3 linked regions of the Arabidopsis thaliana genome follow. The protein of the gene in region 1 interacts with the protein of each later gene in a pairwise test. Each region holds a gene or a part of one and is shown in the gene's direction. Other genes may lie near its edges.

What was found. The genes of interacting proteins can lie anywhere in the genome.
Region 2: the proteins of ATG8D (region 1) and AT5G65480 interact in a two-hybrid assay, tested with the Arabidopsis thaliana proteins (one large-scale study listed by BioGRID).
Region 3: the proteins of ATG8D (region 1) and APG7 interact in a two-hybrid assay, tested with the Arabidopsis thaliana proteins (one large-scale study listed by BioGRID).

The regions. Positions count from the first base shown.
Region 1 is NC_003071.7:2,081,402-2,088,551, reverse strand, and holds ATG8D (Ubiquitin-like superfamily protein), read left to right. Parts: upstream 1-3,669; 5' UTR 3,670-3,776; coding exon 3,777-3,813; intron 3,814-4,146; coding exon 4,147-4,253; intron 4,254-4,336; coding exon 4,337-4,361; intron 4,362-4,615; coding exon 4,616-4,671; intron 4,672-4,743; coding exon 4,744-4,796; intron 4,797-5,021; coding exon 5,022-5,140; intron 5,141-5,243; coding exon 5,244-5,341; 3' UTR 5,342-5,566; downstream 5,567-7,150. Other genes in the region: AT2G05632 (uncharacterized protein), read left to right, coding at 650-808; PGR5 (proton gradient regulation 5), read left to right, coding at 6,865-7,150. UniProt on the Arabidopsis thaliana protein: Ubiquitin-like modifier involved in autophagosomes formation. May mediate the delivery of the autophagosomes to the vacuole via the microtubule cytoskeleton.
Region 2 is NC_003076.8:26,173,087-26,180,513, forward strand, and holds AT5G65480 (uncharacterized protein), read left to right. Parts: upstream 1-2,934; 5' UTR 2,935-3,086; exon of another isoform or gene 3,087-3,294; intron 3,295-3,638; 5' UTR 3,639-3,740; coding exon 3,741-4,155; intron 4,156-4,301; coding exon 4,302-4,348; 3' UTR 4,349-4,831; downstream 4,832-7,427. Other genes in the region: AT5G65470 (O-fucosyltransferase family protein), read left to right, coding at 17-98, 183-342, 432-635, 726-1,002, 1,096-1,323, 1,411-1,818; AT5G65490 (suppressor-like protein), read right to left, coding at 4,917-5,096, 5,184-5,344, 5,444-5,580, 5,677-6,015, 6,109-7,223; AT5G65495 (uncharacterized protein), read left to right, coding at 7,421-7,427.
Region 3 is NC_003076.8:18,612,496-18,621,193, forward strand, and holds APG7 (ThiF family protein), read left to right. Parts: upstream 1-2,679; 5' UTR 2,680-2,808; coding exon 2,809-2,947; intron 2,948-3,227; coding exon 3,228-3,439; intron 3,440-3,523; coding exon 3,524-3,770; intron 3,771-3,860; coding exon 3,861-3,955; intron 3,956-4,034; coding exon 4,035-4,327; intron 4,328-4,410; coding exon 4,411-4,555; intron 4,556-4,641; coding exon 4,642-4,989; intron 4,990-5,077; coding exon 5,078-5,239; intron 5,240-5,335; coding exon 5,336-5,451; intron 5,452-5,528; coding exon 5,529-5,691; intron 5,692-5,767; coding exon 5,768-5,941; 3' UTR 5,942-6,102; downstream 6,103-8,698. Other genes in the region: SAG12 (senescence-associated gene 12), read left to right, coding at 805-1,258, 1,531-1,791, 1,939-2,264; AT5G45910 (GDSL-like Lipase/Acylhydrolase superfamily protein), read right to left, coding at 7,925-8,139, 8,246-8,522, 8,623-8,698.

The DNA.
Region 1 (7,150 bases):
TAAATACATATTGTTTTTGTTTAATTTAAATATTGTGTTTAAATCTCTTCAAACAATTAGATATTATAATTTAATTTCTCTAAGAAACAAAAAAAATCGAAAACCCATGTATATATTTCATACTGTTTTTTAGCCTACCTCTTGAATGATTATATTCTTCAAATTTAGTGAGAAAAATATTTCGATGTATCCCAACTAAAATTCTATTTTTCTTGCTTCAATTTATGGTTTGTTTTTCTCTTTTCATAAATAACTGATAAAAAAATAAATAGAATCAAGTCAAACCAAATTAAATCGAATCAAGCCAAACCACTTTTATAAAGTATATATTCCCCATTGTGTCACTCTCATAAAATAATATTGCCACCGTTGCATTATATATGATGATAAATTTTCTAGAACTCATATTTTTTTTTAAAATGTGTGTTTTAAACTAATACATCTAAATGAAAGAAGTGTTTCTTTTGCGGACAAGTTTTCCTGGCTTTTGCTATCCCAATTGAATTGGTTTTTTTTTGTCCAGTATCTCCGCCTTCTACAGTTGTGATGCGGGCCCTCTTTCTGGCATCACCGCCTCCTATAGGCGGCGTTGGCTAGCTTTGCTTTTTTAACTCGCCGTCCAGTGTATCAGGTAGTTCCAGTTTTGTTTATGCGTTTGTTTAATTGTCTCGATTATGAAGAGTTCCAATATGTGAGATTGTTAGATCAGGAGAGTTTTCTCAGATCTACTTCTACTGACTTGTTCTGTTTTACCGTCGGGATTTCTTGTTTTCGGCCCCTATGGTTTTTTGGCAAGGTTGTTTGTTGATTGCATTGTTGTATCTACCAGTTTTCTTCGTTTTAATTTTCAAGACAGTTATGCGCCTAAGTTGTTGCTGAAAGCTCCATCGGTTTAATCTCCACGCGGATTTCCTTAGAGTTCGGGAGGAAATTACTTTGAGAAGTTCTTTTCTTTGCAGATTTGATAATGAAGATTGGTGAGATTCTCTAATTAAAAACCGTTAAGACTTCTTTGCTTGAAGATCTGGCGATTTCTGATGATTTTGGAGTTTCCTAAGGATTCTTACCAAATCGACAATGACCAACAACGATATATGCTTCACATGTCCATGCGTCTTAACCTTGCTTCATAGTCTCACATGTGGCTTTGCGTTGGAATCTTTAAATCTTACTTCTACAAAGGGTTTAGTTTCCTAGATTGGACTTTCTTTAAGTTGGGCTTCTTCTTATAAGTTAAACTTGTTGGTTCTTTGGTTATGCAACATGGATGCTTGTTTAGATAATCTAATATTGTAAAATTTGATGTGTTTGTCGAGTCATGTAAGTGAAAGATTCCACTTTTGCAACAAAAGTTTTAAATAAAGTGCAACATTTATGAGAAAGAAAAAAAAAAGGTTTTATGCAAAAGGACTCTCCAAATGATTTTTTTTGCTAGACAAACATCCATCTCAAAAAAATACAGGTCAATATCACAGTCTCAAAAGTCACCTACAATATAGTCCTTCCGTATATCGATGACGTAACAGTCGATAACTCCGTTGGAAGACATAAGAGTTTTGTTAAACAAACCCTCCATATATTTTTTTATTTTTGCAAGACAAACCTCAATGTCAAATAAATACAATATTACAATCTCAAAGTCACCCGCGATATAGTCATTTTGTATAGCGATGACATGACAATCGATAATTCCGTTAAAAGCATAATGGATATCAAAATAGACCTTTGTTTTGCTTTTGTTGAAAACCACATGATTGTGTGAGTTTCGTTATTAGAAATAGAATTGAGGGAAATAATTAGAGTTCTTTCATATTATATCTTCTTCTTTATTCATATGAAGTTTGGAGATTCATTTTTCTTTTCCATTTCGATCTTCATCCATTTCGATGTATGTGTTTGTTGAATTGTGTTCCACATGATCAAAAATCTTGGTTTGATTTTAAGTGATTCATTTACAGTTTTGAAGATCCCAATGAAAAATAAATATGAATCTCCAAATTTTCAGATAAATAAAAATTCAATAATTTTGGTGTATATTGTTTTATGGGTAATATTAGTAGATAACCAAATAAAACATACAAATTAAGAAACTAGCAGAGAGAAAGTTTTTTGTTACAAAATAACCATGGATCCCACGTTGTCGGAAGAAAGGAAATAACAAATCTACCCTTCATTTGTTGTAAGATGAACAGTAAACGAAATACATCCGTGTAATTTTTCAAAATAGCATGTAACATTAAAATTTCACATGTTATATTTAGTTTAAAAACATGCTATTTCAAAAAACGTTATGAATTTTTAAGAAAAAATATTCTTATGAAATTCTTTTACGTGAACAGAATCTTAAAAAAAAAAAATTATATGTGATTTTAATAAAAACCATGTATTACTAAAAAATAGGAATATATTTTTAAAGAAATCACGTGTGATCTTAATAAAAAACGTGTATTACTACAAAATATCATGATAAAAAGAGATATTAAACTGAATAGAATGTTTTTTCCAAAAAATACCAGGTGCTTTTTAATAAATACTATGTAATAAGAGAAAATAACAAGATAAAAAGAGGATATTATGTTATCGCATGTATTTCGGAAAAATAACATGTTACAAAGGACATTTACGTAATTACACGTGTTTTCCAACATGTTTCCGACAAGATACTGTGATTCAAGGTTAGTTTGTACATTCTTTTCAAATCTATAGTCATTTATTATAAATACTCTTGTTTTATTGTATGTTTTCTAATGTAGTTATTGGTTGTCATGTCATCACTACACAAAAAGATAATATTATGAGTGATTTTTAAGATTGTAGTGTTGACATTCATTTATTTGATATGAAGATTTTTTTTTACAAAAAAAGTTTACATAGAAATTTTTTACACTAAATCTTTATGTTTTTAATAGAGTTATCGTCTATATCAAACCTACATTTATTTGACATAATAGTTTATCTTATAAAAAATGACTTCATCTGTTCTTTTTTATTTGATTGGTTAGGAAAAACACACATATTAAGTTAAACATATTAAAATTGTTAAATGTATTATTTTTTGTATTTTACAATTTTTTATAACTTTAAATCAATAATATTCAATTATTTTTATCAAAGTTTATAATTAATTAATAATAACTAATAAATATTTCATAAAAAATCTAAAAATTAATCTTTTAAAAACTTATTTTTTTCAAAAAACAGAGAGTGTTAAATAGATAGATTTTTTTACACAAAACCCAAAAAAAAAAACTAAGACCTTGAATGTTTTTTAGATTTTGTAAGAGTTTTTGATTTTTGTTTTTTAAAAACTTATTTTAATACCAATCAAGATTTTAAAATTTTGGTTTCCCTACAATTTAGTAAAACTATTTTATTGTAGTTTTCCATTCATATTTAAGTTTTTTAGTTTTTCTAAAGTTTAGAAAATCTAGTTTTTACTCAATCAACGTTATTTTTTCAAAAACCAAAAACCAATTTTTTAGGGGTTTTTAAAACAAAAATATAATAACAAAAATCTAAAATCTATAGACTAAAATCTAAACTCAAAAACTGAATCGAAAATATCCATTCAGGCCTAATACATCCAATATTTCAATACTTCTTAACTCTTAACTCTTAAGTTTTAAGTAATTAAATATATAAAGATCTGTTGCCAAGCGTACCCTTTTTATAAACATTCCAAATAACTATCTCCATTCTTTGGAGTTACCCAATTTCGACGTTGAACACAAACCCTTGCTTCTCTCTTCTCTGTTTCTCTCTCGCAGCGAAAAATCATGGCGATTAGCTCCTTCAAGCATGAACATCCTCTTGGTTCGTTTTCGATTTAAACCTAATCGATCAATCTTGTTGATCTTTGTGTATCTCTCTCTCATCGTAGGGATTTTTTTAGCGACTAGGTTTAAAAATTCTCAAAATCTGGTTACGTCTATTTCAATTGCTTCTGAGTTTGCATGAATTGATCCTTGATTCTGATTTCCAACGATTTCAATTTTGATTGCGTTAACAGTTATAAGAATCCGCAAAATTATATGTTGAATGATTTTATCGCCGATTCTGTATTGTTTCGTGAAGTAGTATGCATAATCTTTGATTGAAACAAGTTTTGTGTTTATTGATGCAAATACATTATGATCTTTATTCAAGTGGAGATGAATATTGATGTTGAAGTTACTAAGTTTCACTTGTCTCTCTTGTGTTCCGTGGTCGAGTCTCTGTTGTTCACGGGGCGTAGAATCGCTATTTCAGTCCCTGTACATAATCTTTGATTGAAACATGTTCTGATTTGGTGCTGCTTTTGCTGAGGAAGCAAAATACATTATAGTCTCTGTTCAAGTGGAATCCTAAGATATTATCACTGAGTATGTGTTGTTCACGAGGCTTAGAATCACTATTTTAGTCCCTGGAGCCTGGAGTAGTAGTGTACATAATCTTTGATTGAAACATGTTTTGATTTTGTTCTACTTTTGCTGAGGAAGCAAAGTACATTATAGTCTCTGTTCAAGTGGAATCCTAAGATATTATCGCTGAGTCTGTGTTGTTTTACGTGGGTTAGAGGATGTTGATGTGTTGAAAATTGATGGATCTGTGTTTTTTTTGCTCTTGAATGTTACAGAAAAGAGACAAGCTGAAGCAGCACGTATCAGGGAGAAGTATCCAGACAGAATACCAGTATGAATTTTGGCTATTTTCATTTAAGAAAATTGCATAGCTTTTGCCTTATTCTCTCTGAAATTGTTGCAGGTCATTGTCGAAAGAGCCGAGAAGAGTGATGTCCCGGATATTGATAGGAAAAAGTAAGTCCTTACTTCTCTTGAGGAGTTGGATATAATCTCTTTCTTCTCACTGAAAGTGGCTTCAAGCCCTTTTCTGAGAACCCTACACTCCCTCACATTTAGTAATGAATTGGTTAATTGGATAGAAATAATTTTTTTTTATTGAAAGATCTGGAGGAATTTCTGGTTTTCATGGTTTGTTGCTTAGGGATAATGAATTGGCTGACTTACTATTCAAAACTTTAGGTACTTGGTCCCAGCTGATTTGACTGTTGGCCAGTTTGTTTATGTTGTACGGAAGCGGATCAAGCTCAGTCCCGAGAAAGCCATCTTCATTTTTGTCAAGAACATTCTACCACCAACTGGTTAGTTTCAAACACGTTCCTTAATCATATACTTTTCCAGTTCAAGGAATCATATCTTTTTCTCAGTTGAGCTAATAGTAGTAGTGTTATCCTTTTATTGCAGCGGCAATAATGTCTGCAATTTATGAAGAGCACAAAGACGAAGACGGGTTTCTATACATGAGTTACAGTGGTGAGAACACGTTCGGGATCTTCTTCTAATGCGCTTGGAATATGTGGATGCATCAGATTATCAATGTACAGTCTGTCTATTTCTCTGCTTGTCTCTAGTTTTCATGACATTGGACGAAGCTTTTGAAACTTGCATGCTATGTTATTAACATGATAAGGTCTTCCGTTCATGGTGTTAATTTGGCTTTATGCTACACTTAATTTCAAACTTAGTCGCTATATATAGTTGAGGTCACTTGGTGTCCTCCTTGAATATTGGCCCGGCCTATTTCACTAGTCGTTGAACCGTTACGATTTCTATCTTCTCAAAGTTAGCTCGACCGTCAAATCTCTAAGCTCTTGCAATCTCTGCTTCTAAGGAACACAAAACAGAGATAACTTTAGCTATAAATATTTAGATTTCAAAAGCAACTTGATTTAGGTAAATTTGTGCACACTCTAGAATAGATTATCATCTGTTACAGATTATTACTGTACAATCCAGCAAAAACTAGGCCTGGGATTTCGGATTAACCCAATGACCGAACTGAACAAACCGTTTTTTTGGTTCTGATAACCGACTATGAAGGGAAGGCTAAACCGATCGGCGAAATTATAATTGAAGTTCGGTTCTCGGTTCGGCAGACATAACCGATCAGTTTTCTCGGTTAATAGATACTATAAATATAAAGATAAAAACATTAGATCTAATCTTTTTAGCTTCTTCTCCGTTTCCTTTTGATCCTCATCCATGGCTATTTAGTCAATTCTCTCTATCTGCATGTGGTTTTCACTATGGTAGCACGTCGGGGCATATTTCGTTACGGAGATATCGTCATCCCTCGCTATCACCGTCACCGTCACAGACGTAGATCTGCTGATTATGAAGAGGGTAGCGGCACCAAGATACCATCAACCCTAATTTTTAATAGGTTTGGATTTTTAGTTATTTTGGGTTTAAGTTTGTTTTTCGTTTTGGCCCAATTATTGGTTTGTAATTATAAAATTTTGTTTATCTTCGCCCATTCTATAATTTTTGTTTTGACCCATTATCTTGATTTTGGACTTATTCGGTATAAACTAACCGAACTAAAAAAAAAATCGGTTTAGTTCAGAGTTGATTTTGAATCCTATAACCAAACCGACCCGAACCAAATCTTTATTCGGTTTAATTTGACAAAATTTTAAAGAACCGAAAAAACCGATTAAACCAAACCGAACCGATTACCCGAATAAACCGAATGCCCAGGCCAAAAACAACTGAAAATAAAAAATAAAAAATGAGATAGGAGAATATTTAATCCGACGGTGGAGAAATGTTGATATAATAAAACGTGATACAGAGGATCATAAACCCGCAACATGAGAAACGTAATAAGTTAAGTCAAAAAAACGAAAAAGCCAGAATCATATTTGTGGCTCTGGTTTCTCCATCCAAACAAAAACAACACCCAAACCTTGTCCACACCAAAATGTTAAACTCAAAATCCAACCACACACACACAATTTCTCTTCCTCTCTACCATTAACATCGATCAGAAAGACCGAGAGAGAGAGGGAGAAGCTGATTGATTATGGCTGCTGCTTCGATTTCTGCAATAGGATGTAATCAAACTTTGATAGGAACTTCCTTCTATGGAGGATGGGGAAGTTCCATCTCCGGAGAAGATTACCAAACCATGCTCTCCAAGACAGTTGCGCCACCGCAACAAGCCAGAGTCTCAAGGAAAGCAATCAGAGCAGTTCCAATGATGAAGAATGTCAATGAAGGCAAAGGCTTATTTGCACCTCTAGTTGTTGTCACACGCAACCTAGTAGGCAAGAAGAGGTTTAATCAGCTCAGAGGAAAAGCCATTGCCT
Region 2 (7,427 bases), on another chromosome or scaffold:
GTCTTTATAATTTCAGTCAAGTGGAGAACAGTCTGATCTATGGAGGCCATTGACTGATCAAGGATGGAGTCCTTGTATTGATTTGGGAAATTCTCCTTGTAAGTATTGACAATTTGTTTGAAAATTTCTTCTTTAGTTTCAGATTATATTGATCTTTGACTAATCTTGTTGTCTTGGAGCAGCATTACCGGATAAAACCGCGGGATATGTTCAGGTATTTCTTGATGGAGGACTTAACCAGCAACGAATGGGAATATGTGATGCTGTTGCAGTTGCGAAGATTTTAAACGCAACACTCGTGATCCCTTATCTTGAAGTGAATCCTGTGTGGCAAGATTCAAGGTAATGTTTCTTGAAAAATTCTCTGCTGTTGAAGAGTTGTGTTGTTGCCTCGGAAGCTGATGTTGTGTGTTTTTTCTTTCTGTGTGCAGTTCTTTTGTTGATATTTTTGATGTCGATCATTTTATCGATTCTTTAAAAGATGACATAAGGGTGGTTAGAGAACTACCTGATGAATACTCTTGGAGTACAAGAGAGTATTACGGTACAGCAGTACGTGAAACACGAGTGAAAACCGCGCCTGTTCATGCCTCTGCGAATTGGTATATTGAGAACGTCTCACCAGTTCTACAAAGGTCTGTCTTGCACTTAATCTGACTAATGAAAGTTTAAGTTTTTGACTTTCAGACTGTAATTGTTTGGAGCTTTTTTGTTCTATTTTGTAGTTATGGGATTGCTGCCATTTCTCCATTCTCTCACCGGCTATCATTCGACCACTTACCTGCTGAGATCCAACGACTAAGATGCAAAGTGAATTTCCAAGCTTTACGTTTTGTCCCTCACATTACATCACTCGGTGATGCTCTTGTCAGCCGCCTTAGAAACCCGTCATGGAGAAGCAATAAGGAACAGAAAAATGTTGATCATTTAGGAGACATGACCAACCCACACAGAAGACAAGAACCCGGGAAGTTTGCTGTGCTTCATCTTCGCTTCGACAAGGTAAATTATACTTTATTCCAATCATCCTATTCAAAACTTTTGGTGATTGTTGTTAGTTATTTGATCAAGATTTTCTTCTTGTTATGTTTATAGGACATGGCTGCGCATTCAGCGTGTGATTTTGGCGGAGGCAAAGCCGAGAAACTCTCCTTGGCGAAATACAGACAAATGATTTGGCAAGGAAGAGTGTTGAATTCTCAATTCACTGATGAAGAGTTAAGAAGTCAAGGACGGTGTCCTCTAACACCAGAAGAAATGGGACTTCTTTTAGCTGCTTTCGGATTCGATAACAATACTCGTCTCTATCTTGCATCCCACAAGGTCAGAATTCTTCAGTTACATTACTTGTTTAAAGTCTGGTTATAATGTGATGTAGCAGAATATTAATCACGTATTTTTGAATTACAGGTGTATGGAGGAGAAGCTAGAATCTCAACATTAAGACAAGTATTCCCAAGAATGGAAGACAAAAGAAGTCTTGCATCTTCTGAAGAACGAGCTCGAATCAAGGGCAAAGCTTCTTTATTAGCTGCACTTGACTACTACGTTAGTATGCACAGCGACATTTTCATCTCCGCATCACCTGGAAACATGCACAACGCTCTTGTTGGTCATCGAACATTCGAGAATCTCAAGACGATCAGACCAAACATGGCGTTAATAGGACAGCTTTTCCTCAACAAAAGCATCACTTGGGTAGATTTTCAGCAAGCGCTTGGTGAAGGACATGTGAATAGACAAGGACAGATCCGGTTAAGGAAACCAAAACAGTCGATTTATACTTATCCTGCTCCTGATTGTATGTGCCATGTTTGATTAGTTTTTAAAGTCTTGATCTTTAGATATTTCTTATAAGAATAAAAATAAAAACTCTGATTCTTGATGAGGCTAGTTTGTGTTTAGATTTGTGTTCTTGAGGCTTAATAAAAAGAGTATAGTTTGATTAGAAATTTGATTGTGAATGAATATTACAAATTATTGTAGCGATAATGATAATTTGATCAAAAATAAGTAAAGAAGATCAAGTGGATAATCCCTTATTAACAACCACAAGTGTCTAGAATATGCTTATTAGTAATAATCCCTTCAGATTCATCAACCTTCAGATTCTGATGAATGCACTATTTTTATTTTGTAATCATCTTATAAGAATTTATTCTAATATTTGAGAATTGAAGATGTGAAACTTTATGAACAATAAATTAGCACTAGTAGAGCCTTGAATTGTGGCCAAGAAAAGCTGACGACCTATTGGAAAAAGGAACCTAGAATTTTGTTTCTTTGTTTTGTTCTTTTTATGACGTCTGTTACCCATAATTTTGCAGGTTTTTTGGCGACCGTTGTTAATTAATTAAATATATTAACATATTTATTACTCATACCATTTATTATGGGTGGGTGATGTTTTAATAAAGTACTTAAAGTTTTAAGATCAATCCTTGACCCTTGTGATATACGAGTAGTATAAATTTCATTGATTTTAATAGAGATTTTAATTAAGCATCTCTATAATTACACAAAAATCCATAGAGAAACCAGATGATTGAATCGGGGGAAATGCATGAACTTTAATTATTTCCGATTGATAATTCCAAGATTTTGTATCATCATTATACCAAAAATTAAAATTAACAAGAAAATCGATTTGTTTTATTAAATATAAAATGTTGATTTATTACGTATAAATCCCTGATATTTGTTTTTTGTTTTACTTTTCTGAATGGGATATAATCAAGTGTTATGAAGTGTATAGTAGAACGGTGGACCGACAGTTGCCACGAAAGCAAGTAAACCGCTACCAACCGTCGGATCAATCTTTATTGGCTTTGCAGAAGCGAGGCCCAATTAAAACGGCCTAAAATAAATAAACAAAAGAAATAAAAAAAGGAGAAAAGAGAGTAATATAAATGAAGCAGAGCAGAAGATGAGCTTCTCTGTACAAAGTCAGAGAAAAGTCAGAATAAGAAGAAGAAGAAGAAGAAGAAGAGAAAGAGAGTCAGAGACGACGACGGACGAAACGACGCTATTCTTACGCTTTCTTCGATCGTCGATTTGATTTTTTCCCTTCCTTCTTATTTTTCTCGGTAATTTACTACGTTTCGCAATTACCGGAGATTTTTCTCTCTTCTTCCTTCCGATTTTTTCGCATTTATTTCCGCCGAATTTTCCGGCGAAGCCTTGCCGTCTTTTGACGGACATCGGAGGCTTTTGATGATCATCCTTTGTTTCTTCAATTGTCGACCGCTTTCGCTTTTCTATTTTTTAGCGATTGTTTTTTTTAATTGGACCACCGATCTGATGAAACATTAATTACTTTCCATTGATGAAGAATCATCGAGTGAAAATTTAAAAAAGAAAAAATTGAGATCTTCGTTGTGTTTATCCTGAAATTTCATTGAAAATTGAAATTGAGAAGAAAAAATTCTGTTTTAATCATAAAATCTCGTGTTTGATATTATGTTGATGAGTTAATCTAATCTAATCGATCACATCATAAACAGTATTAATGGATAAGAGATTTTCTCTATTGGCATCTGAAATTTGTGTTAAAGTCTTTGTGTTTGGTCAGTGTCATCATTATGTTGACATTATGATTGTTTTATTGATGGTTGATTTTATTTTTAAATTGTCAACAGGTTGAAGTAGAAGATAAAGCATCGATACATGATGGCTGATTGATAAGAGTTTTCTCCGGAGAGGTTCGGAGTTTTTTTTTTAGAAAGGAAACATTAAAAAAGATGGCAGTCTCTTTTCCTCGTCTTCCGAGGTGGTTGTGTGGTGGTAGTAACACTAAAGATAGAGAGAAGAAAGAGTCAATTCCTAAAGGATCTTCTTCACTTAGTCCTTCACTGAAGAAGACTACTACTAGTAAGACTGGTTCTTCCTCTTCATCAGTGAAGAAGACCAAGAGAGGATGGATTGGAAGAGGAGGATCAGGATCAGGAGGGGAAGAGGATAAGATTGGGAATGTGGTGTTTCCTGAACCTGATGATCCAGAGTGGTCAATTGGTTGGGTTGAGCCACATGGACCAGGTTTTAAAGCTGAGGATGATGATTGTGGTGGCTTTGTGGTTTTGGTTCCTCTTTACAAGAAAGTTATGGATGGTTCAGGGAATCAGATTCCGAATGGCTTCTTCTCTCCTGCTGCTCCTGGTAATGTTTGTTTCCATTATCATCATCATTCATTAATAGCTATCATGTAAATTATCTGCATGTTCTTTTAAGAACTTAAGTAATTGGTTTGAGTCTTTTGTTTGTAAATTGATTTGTTCTTTGTTCTGATGACATGTAAACTGCAGATGGGAAGAACATGGAACAGTGGCTGTCGTCTATGGGGAAGCTATAAATTGGAGATTGGGAAGAATAAGACTAGTTCTCTGTTGTTTCAGTATCGAGATTTAAGCATCGAATAATCTAAAAAAAAAAGAAAAGGAAAATAAAAAAAAAGAAGAAGCAAGATTCGTTCGTGGATATAGCTTCTGGAGACTTCTTTTGATTTTCTGTTTGAAGCGAGTGACAACAAAACACCAAGTCATATCTCAAGAATCTACTAATGGACAAAGATGATGCTGATGGAGACCTAGCAACATGAAGATGAATATGATATGATTTGAGTATTGGATATTTTTCATGTGGGTGTTTTTTTCCGGTTGTGAAAGCGTTTCTGCTTCACTTCTGTGGTCGAGATAAATTGGGTTTGGAAAAGGAGAAAAAAAAAAAAAATCTTTTTTCTTTTGTTCCTTTGTGGTTTGATGATGTGTAATAGTAGTAATGTACATGTACATATGTTGTTTTCTTGAAATCACATGTCATGTGCTTACTTTCGACAACACAAAAACTTCCCCAACAACGTTACTCACGATTATGTGATTAAACAAAGTGAACCCAAAAACAAACTACATTTTGATAAGCATTCAGTTTTTGTCGCCGGAATCTTTTGGAAGCTGCAAACCCATGAGGCCGAGCAAATTGGAAGCAGGACCAGGAAGTCCTTGTTGTGAAGAGTAGGATTCAAGTAGGTTCTTAACAAGGTTAAAATCTGCATCAACTGGTGTAAACTCATCATCCTTCTCATCTCTAGTTTTTGATGATTCCTGCAGAGACATTACATTCATCTCATAAATACCATTACAGTCAAAATCTAAGCTCCTAAATTCACTGAGTCTAGTTATGAGAGTTACCTCGTTTTGCTTAGAAGAATGTTGTTGATTCACATTTTCAAAGCTTTTCTCAAGAGTTGAGTTTTTCAGTTCCTCATTCATTGCTCCATAGTAGGATTCCTCAAAGCTTTCCTTAGCATCTTCGTTAGATTCTTCTCCTTCGCTATCATCTTCAACGTCATCTGCATACCATAACATTTTAGTAAGTCCCACATCACATTTCACACCTTATAGATCAGTATATGTTGCCATTAGGAAAAAAAAAAAAGTTTAGGAAATACCAAAATCCATGTCCATGGAAGATCCTTCAGAGCCATCACTGTCATCATCAGCTTGTTCGTCACGACCTTGGCTTCCTAGCATTGACTCAATATCTTTCATGAAACGATCAACATCTATACTCACTTCTTTGAAATCCCTACATAAGTCCAGAAAAAAAAAAATTAATGTGTTGAGCTTGAAATTAACAAAGAGATGTTCATGAAAAATGATTAATGTTCAAATAATGGATAACCTGTTTTCTGGAACTTCTGCTCCTTTGTAGCTTGATACCTTGTGCATGAATTGCTGCATCGACTTTGAGATATCACCGAGATCAAAATTGTTCATGTTTGCATCAGATGAGCTTCCAGCTTCTTGCTTCTCCTTACCTTTATTTTTGCGTTCCTTCTTTGAGTTATAAAACTCCATCTCTTTCTGCCTCTCTTGAAGAACAGAGTTTAGTTCATCTTCACCATCGTAGAGCCAAGAATCATTGTCAGAAGCAGGAACTTCCTGGCCCTTAAAGTCATCCTCCGAATAAGGTAAAGCAAGAATCTCATCAATACGTCTCACCGGTGCACTCATAATGTCTCTGCACATAAATAAAACAAGTACTCAAGATCATATAAACAACTCAAAGATGAATCCTTTTTCACTACCTATAGAAACAAAAAACTGCAATTACCTAGTCCTCGAAAACGAAGAACTCTTCTGGTGGTATTCCTCAGCATTCTCCATCAACCTCTTATACTCCTTCGAACCAGAAAGCAATCCTTCAAAATAACCATACTTCTCAAGATTGTCTTTATACTTGCTCCAACTAATCCCTTTCCCATCTTCTCCTTCCTTCTTCCTCTGCTGGTACATCATTTCCATACCACAAGCTATCTTCATCCCTAGCTCAGCTTCAGAGAAAGCATCCCTGTCACTGACACTAGGCATTGGATAACAATTCGGTGCTTGAAACTTCTGCTGCACTAGCTGCCCATACATAGCACGAGACATCTTGACAAGAACAAGCACAAGCTTCTCTTCTCTTCCTTTGCTCAGAAACTTCTCCATCTTCGCTGCGTGTTTCATTGAATCCATATCACGATCGTAAAACCCTTCCACAGCAAGTGAGATCAAGAAAGGTTCATGCCTAATCACTTGAGCTACCGATACCGGAACCCTAACCCTAACACGATGCATATTCCTCCACGCTCTTTCAGGATAATCAGATATCCGATTCTTCAACGCAGATTGAACTGAATCCGACGCACGAGATTCGTTACCACGCTCGATTAGAAACCGTAGAGACGCAACCAAAGAAGGATCAGGCAAACGGCTTCTGGGAACTATGTGGAGGTCACCACCGCGAATGAAGACACGATTGAGACTAGTCTCCGGATTAAGCCAACGCGGGAGATGAAAAGCAGCTTCGATTAGGAGAAACTCGCCGTCAGTGTCCCAAACACGAATCGAATTAGACGGAAACGCGGCGGAGATTCGAAAAAGTAAAAACACAGCGAACCATTCGTCTTCGAGATTGTCACCGTACTTGAGCTTCCCGTGGAGATGAGGTATAGCAGTATTGGTACAAGCACAAGAGGAAGAGAGAGCGATTGAGAGAGAGAAAGGCTCGTGCTGCCATATGTAAGGAGAAGTAAACGGAGAAACGAAATCGATGATTTCTAAGTGAAGTGACTGAAGAGCGGCGGAGGAGAGGGATGAGTCAGGGAATAAGGAGAAGAAAACTGTTTCGTCTTGGAGACGAGAAGTGGTTTCAGAGAAGAAAGGTGAAGAAGAAGGCTTCGACATTGTTCTTGCTTCATTCACCGGCGCCGGTGACTGATTTATATAACAGATAAAACCCTCTGACTTAATAAGAAGAGTTTGACTTTTGACCATTAATGAAATGACCAAAACACCCTTCATTATGTTCTTCTTCCTTTAGAGAGAAACCCAAAAAGGCCAAAACCGAAGAATTGATTTTTGTGTTTATCTTTCCTTTTACGATGTGTT
Region 3 (8,698 bases), on another chromosome or scaffold:
GAATACTTAGCGTAATGAAGTTCACTTGTTGTGAATGACTATGATTTGATCAAATTAGTTAATTTTGTCGAATCATTTTTCTTTTTGATTTGATTAAGCTTTTAACTTGCACGAATGGTTCTCTTGTGAATAAACAGAATCTTTGAATTCAAACTATTTGATTAGTGAAAAGACAAAAGAAGATTCCTTGTTTTTATGTGATTAGTGATTTTGATGCATGAAAGGTACCTACGTACTACAAGAAAAATAAACATGTACGTAACTACGTATCAGCATGTAAAAGTATTTTTTTCCAAATAATTTATACTCATGATAGATTTTTTTTTTTTGAAATGTCAATTAAAAATGCTTTCTTAAATATTAATTTTAATTAATTAAATAAGGAAATATATTTATGCAAAACATCATCAACACATATCCAACTTCGAAAATCTCTATAGTACACAAGTAGAGAAATTAAATTTTACTAGATACAAACTTCCTAATCATCAAATATAAATGTTTACAAAACTAATTAAACCCACCACTAAAATTAACTAAAAATCCGAGCAAAGTGAGTGAACAAGACTTGATTTCAGGTTGATGTAGGACTAAAATGGCTACGTATCAAACATCAACGATCATTTAGTTATGTATGAATGAATGTAGTCATTACTTGTAAAACAAAAATGCTTTGATTTGGATCAATCACTTCATGTGAACATTAGCAATTACATCAACCTTATTTTCACTATAAAACCCCATCTCAGTACCCTTCTGAAGTAATCAAATTAAGAGCAAAAGTCATTTAACTTTCCTAAAACAATGGCTTTAAAACATATGCAAATCTTTCTCTTCGTCGCTATATTTTCATCATTCTGTTTCTCCATCACTCTTTCTCGTCCACTCGACAATGAACTCATCATGCAAAAGAGGCACATCGAGTGGATGACTAAACACGGCCGTGTCTACGCGGATGTGAAGGAGGAAAACAATCGCTACGTTGTGTTCAAAAACAACGTCGAACGCATTGAACATTTAAATAGCATTCCTGCCGGAAGAACTTTCAAACTTGCGGTAAATCAGTTTGCTGATTTAACCAATGACGAATTTCGTTCCATGTACACTGGTTTCAAAGGTGTCTCGGCATTATCTAGCCAAAGCCAAACTAAAATGTCGCCGTTTAGGTACCAAAACGTTTCTTCTGGTGCTTTGCCGGTTTCTGTTGACTGGAGGAAGAAAGGAGCTGTGACCCCTATCAAGAATCAAGGCAGCTGCGGTATAACTCAAATCTTTATTCATATATATATAAGTGAAATCAAATTGAACCAACCGAAATTTATGTATTCAATCAATTTGAGTTAATTCATAGTGAACAAACCGATCCAAACCAAATCCATAGTGTAACTGACCGAATCGAATAACCATATTTTTATTAAATTTTTCTATGTTAAGTTATATATATTTTGTTTCATACCGTTTTATTGAGATATGTAGTTAGACACATGAAAATATTTATGATAGTGACACTAATGAGTGATGTTTTTGTAGGATGTTGTTGGGCGTTTTCAGCGGTTGCGGCTATTGAAGGAGCAACACAAATAAAGAAAGGGAAACTTATATCTTTGTCAGAACAACAGCTTGTTGATTGCGACACAAACGATTTTGGCTGCGAAGGCGGTTTAATGGATACTGCGTTTGAGCATATAAAAGCGACTGGCGGCTTGACAACTGAGTCAAATTATCCTTACAAAGGCGAAGACGCTACTTGCAATTCCAAAAAGACCAATCCAAAAGCAACTTCTATTACAGGTTCACTTTAGTTAAAGAGCTGGCATATAATAATTAAACAGATTAAACCGATTTTTAATCATATTATCCAAATTAATAAACATTACTATACTAGATAAAATTCATATTTTGAATCTTAAAAAGCTCATGTACGTTCACATATCATAGGTTATGAGGATGTCCCGGTTAATGATGAGCAAGCACTGATGAAGGCAGTGGCACACCAACCGGTTAGCGTTGGAATTGAAGGAGGTGGTTTTGATTTCCAATTCTATTCGTCTGGTGTGTTCACTGGAGAGTGCACTACGTATCTTGATCATGCAGTAACTGCGATTGGATACGGCGAATCTACTAACGGATCAAAGTATTGGATCATCAAGAATTCATGGGGAACAAAATGGGGAGAAAGTGGATATATGAGGATTCAAAAAGATGTCAAGGATAAACAAGGACTATGTGGTCTTGCCATGAAAGCTTCTTACCCAACTATATGAATTCAAAACCGTGTTAAGCTTTTAATTGTGTATGTTTGTGTGGGATTGATGTCTAAAAATAATTTGAATTGTTTTATGTAAAAAAATTGTATTTAGACTGTTGTATGCATTTTATGAAATTGTAAGCTTATGTAATGCAAAGGATTGATAATTTTCGAAATGTTTCTTTCAAATTTCAACGGTATTAGCTAGGGATAATTTGAAGCATATGCACAATCAAATTCCACCAAGTAAAAATGAAAATTTGTTAAAAAAATGAAGTTTGAAAACTCTTAACCATTTACTGAGAAGACTGTAATAAACCGAATTTGGTTCAGTTTGATTTTTATGGAAAAAGACGAACCGTCCGGTTAATGCTTTTTACTTTTTTAAAATAAACCGGTTTTGGTTTGCTTGGATATAAAGCCGACCCGACCCGGATTGACCATGTTCCTTGCACGACTCCTTTTTCTCACCGTTCTCCGTCATCGTCTTCTTCTTTCTCACATTCATTGACTCTCCTCCATAATAAACATTGCAATCTCTCAGAAAGATAAGATCAGCCATGGCTGAGAAAGAAACTCCAGCAATCATACTTCAATTCGCTCCATTGAACAGTTCCGTCGACGAAGGTTTCTGGCATAGCTTCTCCTCTTTGAAACTCGACAAACTCGGAATCGATGATTCTCCGATTTCAATCACCGGTAAACACACAATCATCGAATTAAAAAATCATCCAATGCATCGATTTTTATATATTATTCGATGAGTCTATGCATTCGAGCTCTTATGATCCGTTTAGGTTAGAGAAGCAAAAAAAAAAGTTGAAAACTTGAAAATCCTCTGTTTTCTGGGCAAGTTGTTATGATCCGTTTAGGTTAGAGAAGCAAAAAAAAAGTTGAGAACTTTAAAAGCCTCTGTTTTGTTTAGTAGAGATTATTCAGATTTAGAATTTATGTGCTTTTTTGGAACTGAAATTTTCAGGTTTCTATGGACCATGTGGACATCCACAAGTCTCAAATCATTTGACTCTTTTATCAGAGTCATTGCCTTTAGATGAACAATCATTGATTGCTAGTACTAGTCATGGAAATAGGAATAAGTGTCCTGTTCCTGGGATTTTGTATAACACCAATACCGTTGAAAGCTTCAATAAACTTGACAAACAAAGTCTGCTAAAAGCAGAAGCAAATAAGGTAAATACAAAACTTAGCTCCGTGACTTGGTTTTTACTGGTTCTTGTCTGCAGAAGTTTTAACAATTTTGTTGGTGAATTTTAGATTTGGGAGGATATTCAATCAGGAAAAGCTCTTGAAGACCCTTCTGTGTTACCAAGATTCCTCGTTATCTCCTTTGCAGACCTTAAGAAATGGAGTTTTCGGTATTGGTTTGCGTTCCCTGCGTTTGTACTTGATCCTCCTGTAAGTTTGATTGAATTAAAGCCAGCTTCAGAGTATTTTAGTTCTGAAGAGGCTGAATCAGTATCCGCTGCTTGTAATGATTGGCGCGACTCAGATTTAACTACTGGTACTCAACATTCTTGTTCTATTTTTTACTATTAAAATTCAAGGAGTGGTAGCTGAAAACCTTTTGTTACTTCTCCGTGTTTTGCTGTAGATGTTCCATTCTTTTTGGTTTCGGTTTCTTCTGATTCAAAAGCTAGTATCAGACATCTTAAAGACTTGGAAGCGTGCCAAGGTGATCATCAAAAGGTATGTGTTAACTAACTCTTCCATATGCGTTAGATACAGAAAAAACAAAATTCACCTTTATGTGTCTCTCTTCCTGCAGTTGCTTTTCGGTTTCTATGACCCGTGTCACCTTCCTAGTAATCCTGGCTGGCCACTTCGAAACTACTTGGCACTGATTCGCTCAAGATGGAACCTCGAGACAGTTTGGTTCTTCTGCTACAGAGAGAGTCGTGGTTTCGCTGACTTGAACCTTTCTCTTGTTGGTCAAGCCTCAATTACACTTTCATCAGGTGAATCAGCTGAGACTGTACCTAACTCAGTGGGATGGGAGCTTAACAAAGGGAAACGTGTACCCCGATCCATTAGCCTTGCTAATTCCATGGATCCAACAAGGTACATTTTTGCTCTGTGTCAATGATCTACTCAACTAAATGGGTAAAATCTGATTAGACAAACGGAATCACGTTCTTTCGCAGGTTGGCTGTTTCTGCTGTCGATTTAAACTTAAAGTTAATGAGATGGCGAGCATTACCGTCTCTTAACTTAAATGTATTGTCCTCTGTCAAATGCCTTCTTCTTGGAGCTGGTACATTGGGTTGCCAAGTTGCTCGTACCCTTATGGTACGTATTGAAGAAAATGCGAGATTTGACATTATTTTACAAACTCACTGATTAACTAAGAACTCGTTTATCTTTTATTTTCTTAGGGTTGGGGAATCCGCAATATCACCTTTGTTGACTATGGAAAAGTTGCCATGTCTAATCCAGTCAGGCAATCTCTCTATAATTTTGAAGATTGTCTAGGTCGTGGTGAGTTTAAAGCTGTTGCTGCTGTTAAAAGCCTTAAACAGATATTTCCAGCAATGGAAACTAGTGGAGTTGTTATGGCTATACCGATGCCCGGACATCCGATTTCTAGCCAAGAAGAAGATTCTGTTCTCGGTGATTGTAAACGCCTTAGCGAGTTGATTGAATCTCATGATGCGGTGTTCTTGTTAACCGATACAAGAGAAAGCAGGTGGTTACCGTCTCTTCTTTGTGCTAATGCCAATAAGGTAACTAACTCTGTTTCTTTATTTCTTCTTACTGGTTATATAAGTATAACAATCTGCTTGATATGTCGGTGTTTGATGTGAATTTCAGATCGCTATAAACGCGGCTTTAGGTTTTGACAGCTACATGGTAATGCGCCATGGTGCTGGCCCCACCTCTCTGTCTGATGATATGCAGAATCTTGACATAAACAAGACAAATACACAGAGACTTGGTTGTTACTTCTGCAACGACGTGGTTGCACCTCAGGATGTAATTCCCTGGTTTCTTCATTTTGAATTGTTTTGTTTCGTGTTACCTCCAGTTCAGTCCTGATTCGTCGTACCCACTCTTTTCTTGTATTTGCAGTCAATGACTGATCGAACTCTAGACCAACAATGCACTGTTACACGCCCGGGTCTAGCTCCTATTGCAGGAGCTCTCGCCGTTGAACTCTTAGTCGGAGTCCTACAACACCCACTTGGGTAAGCCTTTCGAAACTCGAATACATTGAAAATACAATCCTCAGGCTTATCGTCTTACATATGTTTATTACATACAGTATCAATGCAAAAGGCGACAATTCGAGCTTGAGTAATACAGGAAACAATGATGATTCGCCTCTCGGGATATTACCTCATCAGATACGAGGCTCAGTTTCTCAGTTCTCACAGATCACGCTGCTTGGTCAAGCTTCCAACAGCTGTACCGCTTGCTCTGAAACCGTAAGTTTCCACATGACATCATTCTTAGAAAACTGCGCTCGAGAATCTGATGATGTTTATAAACTTGTATTTTCAGGTGATATCGGAGTATAGGGAGAGAGGAAACAGTTTCATACTTGAAGCTATTAACCATCCTACATACCTGGAGGATCTTACTGGTTTAACCGAGCTTAAGAAAGCTGCTAATTCATTCAACCTCGACTGGGAAGACGATGATACTGATGATGACGATGTAGCTGTAGATCTTTAAAGACAGATTTATGTATCAAATGTCCATAGACTATATTCACTAGGTGGCTTCTTTTATGAATCTTTTGATAAGCATTTTTTTAAACTAAATTAAAGTACAAAGAAATGAAGAAATCAAATTCTTAATCACAGAATGATTAGTTCAATATCTACTAAACCGAAAATCACACCAACAGTGTATATATAATTTTAGATAATCATAGCTTATAATTAAATTTGAAAAGAATACATTCAAAGATTTTACATATCACATTAGCAAAAACTATGGAGTTTGCGTAGAACAAATCCACTCAAATAAACAGAGGTTAGCGTTGACGCAGCTCCATTCAAATCACAATTTAAGGAGATAAAAGGATAAAATTAGATTTGTTTAAAATTGAAATAGACATAACTTCTTTTTTTTTTTTTTTGCTAAATTGTAAATATTTCATAGATAATGAAAACAGTTTAGGTTACAAACATAAAATTTGAAACCTATATATATGGATCTATGGCAAAAAAGAATAAAAACATAGACGCATAAAAAACGGTTAATTAAAACCAAATTTTCGATCGATCTTCTCAACCTTGCAATGAATCTAAGGGAATAGATGAAGCGATGACGTTCAATTCTATCCTTCCCGAAAGAGATGCACAAGCAGAAGGGCTGAAACAGATTGTGATACACCAAAAAGCGATGGACTAAGAGCTTTAGAAGCCTTTCGTTGGAGGCCTGACATTGAGCCGTCAACGGTTCGAAACACAAAAGCATCAAACACATACTTTCCCTGCGACATGTGAAAGCGATACTTCAATCCAATCCATGAGCTCTCCCGAAAGCAGAACCTCACACGCCAAAGTAGCAAAAGATGCAAGCTCCCTCTAACCAAGTTCATTTCCCGAAGTCAGCAGCGCAGAGCAAGATAAGAACTAATCACCACTACACCAGAAGCCATAACATAACTTCTTTATATAGACACAATATGTTCTTTCTTTTATCATTTGAAAAACACCGTCAATAAATTTTTACCATCTACGAAACTACGATAACTAAACTTATTCAACTCTCGTTCACCGTTTTAGCTATCTTCAGCATTTTCGTGCTTGGTATGTATCTATATCTAAAATCGACTAAATATATTATAAACAAACGATCTAAAATAAATGTTTGTGAATGCCATGTTAATTTTTTTAATATCAGTTCATATATATTATTTCCAAACATCAATATATATGAAATCAAAGAAAACTTTTTTCTTTTTAATTTTTAATAAAAAATAATATTTTGGTGTAATAAACAGGAGTGGTCGAAAATGAGTATAAATGTTCGGAAATTCTGTTTCGAAAGAGTAAGTGTGATTATCAAGAGTGTGGGTTGATGTGTGTTTTGAAGAGGCAGGGGTTGTCAAGTTGCTCTAATGAGGGCATATGTTCTTGCCAGTATCAATGCCCTTAATTTTTATTTTTTACTATGTAAATCAAATTATATGTAAACTTTAAAGTAATTTGCTTTACATGTTTTTTATATATGCATTATCCATTAGAATGTATTGTTTCTGTTAAAAAATAAATTACAATTTCTAAGTTAGTAATTTAATTAACTGTTTTTATAAGAAAGTATGGTAAAACGCCCGGAGATGAGATTAGATGCAATGTGGTGGATATTTTAGCATGGGCAGTGAAATTTTGCTAACTTAATTCTGTAACAAAAATGTGAAAGGGAAAACAATGCAATCTATTTATTTATGTATACTCTACTAACATGTATATGAATCAGAACCGATCTAGTTGTACCTTTTTCATACATTTAATGAAATATTTCTATAGATTTTTTTCCCCAAAATTGTCGTTAATAATGTGAAGCCCAAAGCTATGAGTTTTTATGCTTATGCTCTCGAACGAGCTTGATATAAATATGATCGATTTATAGGTTTTCAATTAGGAGTTATATGAAAAGTTTGTGTGTTAAAAAAAAAGTTACAACTTATGAGTAACTTAATTGTTATTAATTATAAGTAGGCATGGTGAAACGGCCGGAGATGAGACCAGTTGCAATGTGGCGGTAAGCCGCTTCAGTGAGGTGAATTCCGTCCCAATTTGCGTACGTTGATGGATCTTCGCAAGTGGTTGAACCCTTTTCTCCGCACCGCACGTTTGGTTGCACGTTGTATCTTCCATCTCCTCCTCCACAACATGCCTTTAGGACACTTCCAGTGAAACCTATATTACAAAAAGAAAAACAATACATATCGAACAAAGTATCAAAATTGATTTGTATATCGAACATGTCTACTAGTTATAGGAAATAATATGGAAGTCGGATTACCGTATTTGGAAGGTGAGTTGAAGAATTGCATGGCAGAACTGTAATAATCAGCATATATAATTTTGGCATAAGGGTACTTTTTTCTTAGAGCCGCGAGGCCTTTCTTGAGCTTATCATTGTGAAGCTTAGCCAAATTGTTCAATGGCATGTAGCATTGGTTCCTCGAGTCATAAAGCCATCCACTATTATCATTAAACCGCTCTAGTAGAGCCGCAGAACAACCGATTGGAAGGTTTCCTGGAACTATTAGTGTCATGGCACCTTCCTCTATCAATGCCTTCAGATTATACCAAACCCAAAATCGTTGGTTAATGAACGAATATTTGGACTAATTAACGTTATATAGATAATAATTAATGTAAACGTTTACTACTTACACTTGTGACGTCCATGATTTTGTTAATAACAAATGGTACCAAATCCATAGCATGTTTGAAACTTCGGAATGCCAAA